Linked DNA regions of Sus scrofa. The protein of the gene in region 1 purifies or fractionates together with the protein of each later gene. This does not show direct contact. Links are inferred from orthologs where the notes say so. Each region holds a gene or a part of one and is shown in the gene's direction. Other genes may lie near its edges.

The links. The genes of interacting proteins can lie anywhere in the genome.
Region 2: the proteins of PTP4A1 (region 1) and CNNM1 purify together in Homo sapiens (affinity purification with mass spectrometry; 4 studies listed by BioGRID and IntAct, with this or other methods). This does not show direct contact. The link is inferred for Sus scrofa from reciprocal best matches to the Homo sapiens genes PTP4A1 and CNNM1.

What each region holds. Positions count from the first base shown.
Region 1 is NC_010443.5:45,168,492-45,172,718, forward strand, and holds the start of PTP4A1 (protein tyrosine phosphatase type IVA 1), read left to right. Parts: upstream 1-1,421; 5' UTR 1,422-2,205; intron 2,206-4,227. UniProt on the Homo sapiens protein: Protein tyrosine phosphatase which stimulates progression from G1 into S phase during mitosis. May play a role in the development and maintenance of differentiating epithelial tissues.
Region 2 is NC_010456.5:110,538,068-110,542,188, forward strand, and holds the start of CNNM1 (metal transporter CNNM1), read left to right. Parts: upstream 1-1,306; 5' UTR 1,307-1,671; coding exon 1,672-3,235; intron 3,236-4,121. UniProt on the Homo sapiens protein: Probable metal transporter.

The sequences.
Region 1 (4,227 bases):
AGGCCAGGGATCAAACGCTCAACTTCATGGTTCCTAGTTGGATTCGTTAACCACTGAGCCACAACGGGAACTCCTTTTTTATTTTTATTTTTTTATTTTTTTACCTACACTATTGTATATGTTGCTCAAGCTTTTCCATATCAAAGTTTTAAATTTTTACATAATGAAATCTGACTTTTCCTTTGTGACTTGAGTTCCCTTATCTTCTTAACAAGGTTTCTCTCATCCTAGGACAATTTTTTCAATACTCCTATTTTTTTTAGGATTTTAAATATTTACATTTTTACTCGTTTATAGTTTGTGAAGGGACATCATATATTTCTCAAGCTCTTTAATCTTCCTTGATGTAGATGGATTCAGAAGTGTCCTAGGCAAGCAATTTCTTTAAAATGAAGATGACTTCTGTTCCTGTGAAAGCCTGCCTGATCCAGTTCTTTATTTTTTTGAAAGCACTTTGTTTGCAGAGTATATGCTTATAAACAAAGTTGAATATCACAAATGTCATAATATCATTTATATGTGGAATCTAAAAAAAAAATGATATAAATGAACTTATTTACAAAACCGAAACAGATTCACAGACTTTTAAAACAAACTTATGGTTACCAGAGAAGAAAGGTTGGAGGAGGGATAAATTAGGAGTTTGGGATTAACATATACACAATATTCTTTATAAAACAGATAACTGACAAGGACCTGCTGTATAGCACAGGGAACTGTACTCAATATTCTGTAATAATTTATGTGGGGAAAAGAAGGGATATAGGTATAACTGAATCACTTTGCTATACACCTGAAACACATTGTAAATCAACTATGCTCCAATAAAAATTTTTAAAAAGTTGTCTACACAAGCACAGTCTCTTAAGTAGACGTTTTAATAAATCCTAAGATGCTGCAGTACACTGACCAAGAAAACAATTTGATCCCTAAAGCCCTCTCCAATCTATGCTCAGTGAAAACAGCAAACAAAAGGCCTGAGTAGAAAACCTAGTTCTTCAAAGCAGGTAAAACTCCTGTTTACTCCTTCCAGAAGAGAAAGAGTTTTCAGATCATAAAAGACAGAATTGCCCGGGTGCAAGACAGAACAACTGTGATAAGGCTTTACTTCCTAAAAGTCTAAATTACGAACAGTGGAACAGTTCTGAAAATGAACAAAAAGGAAAGCAATAGCTTTGAGGCAAAGAATCACATCAGTCTGGCAAAATCGAAGATTCTTAATTTTTAAAACGCTGCCTAACCTTTTATTATCTGTGACAACACATCAAGTGAGCAGCAGTACAAAGGATGCCTGTGATTTAGAAATGCCACGCTTGAGCCAACTACAGTTGCCCGCGTGCGTAGCATGAAGGCGTGACCAAAAAAGACTGGGGAACAGAGGGCTTTATCTGCATCACAAGACACTCTCCGTTTTCTATACACGAATGTTTGCTGAAATAAGTCCTCTCCGCTCGCGCTACCGGGGGCAGGACCGAAACATCACAGGTGTTGTCGCGGGCAGGTGGAGCCACAGGAAGATTTCACGTTGGGGATCGCAGGGCGCAGGTGCCCAGGCAAACCGCTGGTCAAAATGACTGGGATCTGACTTACGGCAAAAGAAGTAGGCCTGGGATTGAGACTACGCTCCAGTCCGAAGTGCACTGCATTCTAGTTGAGGCCAACTTCGGGCCTCCTCCTGAGATGAGAGTGCACTCGTCAGGGGTTTAGTTACGTAGAGCAGCCTCTCATCCCCGTACGGGGCTTCCCCTGCAGACCCTCCAATGACCCTTCCCACCCCCGCCTGGTAGGCGCTCTGATTGCAGCCGGTCGCCATTCATCAACCGGTTCACACCGGCGGCCGCCGCCGCGCTGTGACGTCGGCGAGGCGGGCCTCCGCCCCCGCTCGTCGGCGCTAGGATTGAGGCCCGACTGCGATTGGCCGCCTGGGCGTTCACGTCACTCTTGCTATAAATAAGAGGGCTTGTGACGCAAGGGCGCCTCGGCGCACGTATTGGCTCATTGGGCTGCGGGCCGGCGAGGCTGCGCGCTCTCCCCGGAGCCGCTCGCTGCAGGATCGAGTCCACTGCCCTCGCTGCCTCCAGCGAAGCCGCCGCTAGCCCGCGAGGACCACCGCCACCCCTGCCCTACCGCTGCCGCCTGTGTCGCCGCCGCCTCGGGACCGGCTGTATGATTAAGCCACAATCTTCAATGAGTAGACATATTCCTGTGAGTACCCGTACCCCGTGCCGCCGCCTTTGTTCGGAGCCTGGCTCCGCCCGGGTCCCGCTGGTACTGGCGGGCGAGCGCTGAGGGCCAAGCCCGGGGCGCCGGGCTGCGCGGTGGCACGGGAGCCGCTTTGTGACCACCACCTCGCTCCGGCACCCGGCGGCGCCCCAAGGCCCCTTTGTCTGCCGCAGGGCCCGGGAGCGGGGACGTGGCCCGGGTGGGGCGCGGGTTGCGCGTCACTGCAGCGGGCGCGCCCCCAGACCCTGCGGGCGGGTGGGCGAGGCGGCTGCTCGCGGGCTGGGCCGGACTCCTTCGCGGAGCCGGCGGGATTGGGCCTGTGCGGCCACCCAGGGCCCCGCGGCTGCGGCCGGCGCTCGGACAAAATGGCCTCGGCGCCGGACTGAAGACGCGGCGCGAACCCGTGACCCGGGCCCGCGCGGCCCCACCAGGTGAGCGGCCCGCCCCGCCCCACCGGCTCCGGACAATGGGAGCAAGTCCGGGCTCGTCCCTGCTCCGGGGCGGGGCAGGAGGGAAGCGGCCTGGGTCTGAGCCTGGGGAAGCTTCCGGGCCGCACTGCGCGAAGCCAAGGGGGCCCGGTGCCGCCTTTTAATCCGGCACCCTTAGAACTTCCTGAAACCCCAGATGTGCTGTGTTTGTTGCCTCCTGTTGGCTTGCATCGCAGGGCCCAGCCAGAGCCAGAATTCTGAGGTTTATCTCTGTCCGTGGAACCCTCTGCGGTTCCAAATGTATTTCATCGTTATTTACACTGCAGTTAGAACTATCGATTTGCTTGAGATCTAGATTATGAGCCAGTGCTTCCCGTTACTCTATATGTGAATTTTGTTTGGTGGCAGTGAAAAAGTTGAAAATCAGAAAGCTAGATCATTCTGAAAACTAATCAGCATTTTATACTTGTTATATTCCAGGTGCATTGCCTAAGGTATAGGTAGATGAGGCACAAATTGCAACTACCTACCATCTGATAAAATAGTTAACACAGATTATTGTGATTATGTACAACTGATAAGTGGAAGAAGAAAAAATTCCTTGGTATTTCTAGATTGCCTATCATGGATAGGTTTTCCTGGGGCGAAGACATTGGGAATGGGGAAGTCCTGGGCAGAACAGAAAGGTGTTAGGTGTGCACAGTCACTTCCGCTTTTGTGGAAATTCATCACCCGTCTGTCCCCTACTGGGTGGCTCTATCCAGTCCACTGAAAGAATTATTTCTGTATTGCTTTCTGTGCTTCCTTGTGAGAAATTGCTAGTTGAAGGGATATGGCCAGACAGCTGTAACAGGAATTTTAGTTAAGTATGGAAGTAGTATTGTGTGTTTCTCTACAGATCGCCTTTAACTTGAAAAAAGTAGTACCTGGAAGTCAGAATACTGAGATTAGAGTCTTTGACCTTAACAGCTTTGCAAATTAATTTATCGTCATTGGGAAGGTGCCAGAAGACACTTTTTATTCCAAGGAAGTAGTATTTAGGATTTGAGGTAGAAAATATAATTGGAATTACTTCAGTTACTGCAGTCTCAGGTAAAGTGTTTGGGGCAGTGGCTGGTTCTTGGTGCTGTTATTAACCTGTTCTTAATGTTTGTCCTTTGTTTACTCCCAACCACACTACACACAAGCTCCTTATAAAGTACTTGGAAGAAGAGCAACAGCAATATCAATGCTTTTTGTGTATTCATTCTGAAAATACCCTGTGAATATTCATTTAATATTTGACATTGGCATAAAACTGTTTTGGTTTCTTAAGAAGACCTTAGGAAAAACATGATTGGTAGTAGTAGTAATCTTGCTCTTGAGACATGGGAGAAAAAAATGGAATTTACACCACTGCCCTCAGCCCCTCCCCCCCACCTCCTTCTCTCTTTTCTTTGGATTAGATTTTAGTTAAAGATGGAATAAGTGGAATTTGGGCTTTACAATCAAAAAATTTTTACTGAAATTATGAACAGCTTTTTTATAGTTATAAGTGGGAATTATTTATGTATATACATTTCTTTGTAATACTTCA
Region 2 (4,121 bases), on another chromosome or scaffold:
TTTGAAGTCTTTCTCAATCTATGTCTTTGGAACTCTATGAAAAATAAGATTTTACATATGATTTTTTAAAATTAAATTAGAGGTGCCAAAAGTAGTATGCCAAATTATAGTTACTTTTACACAGACCTATGGTAAATTTACACAAAGAAAAATGAAAACATATGTTCACATGAAAACCTGCACACAAACATTTATGGCTGCTTTATTCATAATTGCCAAAACTGAAAATAACTCAAATGTTATTTAACTGGTAAATGGATAAACAAATCGTGATACCTCCATGTAATAGAATACTACCCAGTTGTTAAAAAGGAAAGACCTATTGATAACTACAACAGCATGGATGACTCTCAAATGCATAATGCTAAGAGAAGCTAGATCCAAAAAGCTACGCATTGTATTATTTCACTAATACAACATTCTGGAAAAAGAAAACTATAGGAGAGAACATATCAGTAGCTGCCAGCGGATAAAATGGCGGGGGGCGGGGAATTGACTACAAAGAGACAGTAAGAGGGAATATTGGAGGATGATGGCACTATTTTTTATTGTGATAGCTACATGAATATGTATTTGTCAAAACTCATAGAACAATACATCAAGAAGTGAATTTAACTATAGAGATATTTTAAATAAATGTATAAAAGTAAATTAATAGGCCTATGGTAAACTCAGATAACACAAAGAATTCAGTAAAAAGTCTCCCTCCTAGATCTTCATGGTGACAGAATAGTTCTGCATTTTGATTGCAGCAATGTTTATATAAATCTATACATGTGGTTAAAAAGTGAGATAAAACTATACACACACATTGTACCAATGTCAAATTCCTGCTTTTAGTATTGTGCTATGAACCCACTCCCCAGAGATGAACATTATTACAAATTTCTTGTGTATCCTCCTCATATTAAATCTAATATTTTATATATGTATATATGTAAATATACATTTATACTCATATACCTTTAATGCAAACAGTAGCATATTATACACATTCTTCTGTGTCTTAATATTTTTCAACCATTACTTTGAAGATAATTTTCATATCACAAACTCATGGATCCATATCATTATTTTTTCCTGCTGCATAGTATTTCACCACACAGTGGTATTGTTATTTCAAAAGTTTCTTATTAATGGGCATCTGGGTCTTAACCAATTTAACCTAAGTGTTTGGAAATTTTTGAAACATGAAAGGTCAGCTAGAGTTGAGACCAAACACAATGATTCAAGAATTGTCTCTAGAATATCTTTTGACCAGAAGGGGGAACGCAAGAGGCAGGAGGAGAGGCGAAAGGCTGGGAAATTTCCCCAGCCAATGGTGAAGCAGAGGGCCAGCAGGGAATTACTGCCGGGTAGGAGTTCGCTGAGGGGCGTCCTAGTGTTGGAGTAGGAGGCCATGCTCCAAGGCAAGCTTTCCCTAGGCGGCAACTCTGAGGTACTGAAGTGCGTCGGGGTTATGCGCGAAGCAGTGATGGGGTGACCATCTCCCGCTTCCCGCGGGGACCCACGGGCGGGGCAGGGTCTGAACCCCCTTCGCCTAGTGCTCACGCGGGCCGCAGGCGTACACGTGGTGACCTGCCTGGGGCAGGGTTCCAGGCTCCGGCTCCTCCTCCCTCCAGCTCTCGCTCGGCTTTCTGCAGTATCACGTGCAGCCGCGCCGAGTGCAGGATGGCGGCGGCCGCAGCAGCGGTGGGTTTCAGGCTCCGAGACTGCTGCAGCCAGGGCGCTGTACTCCTGCTCTTCTTCTCCCTGTCCCCTCGGCCCCCGGCCGCCGCCGCCTGGCTGCTGGGCCTGCGGCCCGAGGACACCGCTGGAGGCCGCGTGTCCCTGGAGGGGGGCACCCTGCGCGCCGCTGAAGGCACAAGCTTCCTTCTGCGCGTCTATTTCCAGCCAGGGCCCGCGGCGCCCGTGGCGCCGGTGCCCGCACCCACCCTTTCCCCGGGGGAGAACGGCACCGGTGACTGGGCACCGCGGCTGGTGTTTATCGAGGAGCCCCCGGGCGGGAGCGGCGTGGCCCCCAGCGCTGTCCCCACGCGCCCCCCGGGGCCGCAGCGCTGCCGCGAGCAGAGCGACTGGGCGTCGGACGTGGAGGTCCTGGGGCCCCTGCGCCCCGGTGGCGTGGCGGGCTCGGCTCTAGTCCAGGTGCGGGTGCGGGAGCTGCGCAAGGGCGAGGCAGAGCGAAGCGGCGCGGGCGGTGGCGGGAAGCTCTTCTCGCTGTGCGCCTGGGACGGGCGCGCTTGGCACCACCACGGCGCTGCCGGTGGCTTCCTGCTGCGCGTCCGCCCGCGGCTGTATGGCCCGGGCGGGGACCTTCTGCCCCCCGCGTGGCTGCGGGCGCTCGGAGCTCTCCTGCTGCTCGCCCTGTCTGCCCTGTTCAGCGGCCTGCGCTTGAGCCTGCTCTCGCTGGACCCGGTGGAGTTACGGGTGCTGCGGAACAGCGGCTCAGCCGCCGAGCAGGAACAGGCGCGCCGAGTGCAGGCCGTGCGCGGCAGGGGGACCCATCTGCTCTGCACCCTGCTCCTGGGCCAAGCCGGAGCCAATGCGGCCCTGGCGGGCTGGCTGTACGCCTCGCTGCCCCCGGGCGTCGGGGACGCCGGGGAAGATTATGGAGACGCGGGGATTCACTTCCCGTGGCTGCCGGCGCTGGTGTGCACAGGCGCTGTGTTCCTGGGCGCCGAGATTTGCCCCTACTCTGTGTGTTCGCGGCACGGACTGGCCATTGCCTCGCATAGCGTGTGCCTGACCCGGCTCCTGATGGCGGCCGCCTTCCCCGTGTGTTACCCGCTGGGCCGCCTGCTGGACTGGGCACTGCGCCAAGAGATCAGCACCTTCTACACGCGGGAGAAGCTGCTGGAGACGCTGAGGGCCGCGGACCCTTACAGCGACCTGGTAAAGGAAGAACTCAACATCATTCAAGGCGCCCTGGAGCTGCGCACCAAGGTGGTAGAGGAGGTGCTGACCCCCCTTGGGGACTGCTTCATGCTGCGTTCCGACGCAGTGCTGGATTTCGCCACTGTCTCCGAGATCCTGCGCAGCGGTTACACTCGCATCCCCGTGTACGAAGGCGACCAGCGGCACAACATTGTGGACATTCTGTTTGTCAAGGACTTGGCCTTCGTGGACCCCGACGACTGCACGCCGCTCCTCACCGTCACCCGCTTCTACAACCGGCCCCTGCACTGCGTCTTCAATGATACCCGGCTGGACACGGTGCTGGAGGAGTTTAAGAAGGGTGAGCATGTGGTGTATCTCCTCTCTCAACCCCTATCCCTTTGGAAATATTACCCTTTCATAAACATGTGAGGCTTCAGGTGTGCAAAGCAGCTTCTCCCCTGTGGTACCAAAAACTCAAGGAAGGCCCTGCCTCAAGGCTCCCTTCCTCTTTTCATTTCTCCCTCCTTTCTTTGAAGGCTCTTCCCCTTTACTTGGCTCTCAGGATGCACCGTATTCCTCATTCATTCCATTCCAGTATTTTTTCAGGGCCTACCAATTGCTAGGTGTTGTGCAGATTGGACTCAGGGTATAGCCCTTGGAGGGCACTGCATAGCTCCCCATCATAGGGGCAACCTTCCAGGATTCCCATAATAAGCAGCCTTGACTTTTTAAACTCCTCCCTGGGTGGGAAGTTTACCATTCCCAATTTCAGGGCAGACTAACTCCATTGCTGGACAGCTCCAGCTGCTGACAGCTCTTTCTTACAAGAAGCAGAAGTTTGTGTCTCCAGCGCCCCACTCGGGGCCCTAGTTCTGCCCTTTGAATCACACAGAGTAAGTCCCAGACACCTTAGACATTCTTCCCCCATATTGATCTTTCCATCAGCTATGCCTTGGACACCCATCAAGTGCCCTGGTTGGAGATTAAAAGTTGACTAAAACAGTGAGGTCCTTGTACTCCTAGGAACTGTGGTCCCATGACGTAAAATAGATTTAGACCTGAGGAAATATTCTGGTAAAGAGAACCACTAGAAAACATGCCTATCCAAGTGAATGGGGCTTCCTTCAGAGCGGTCACATCCCTTGCCTTTGATGTCATGTCTATAACATGTTTGGGTCTGCCTTTGGAAACTGTCTTTGGGGGTTGAGTAGAGTTCATTCCAGAAAAATCAGCATGGATATTTT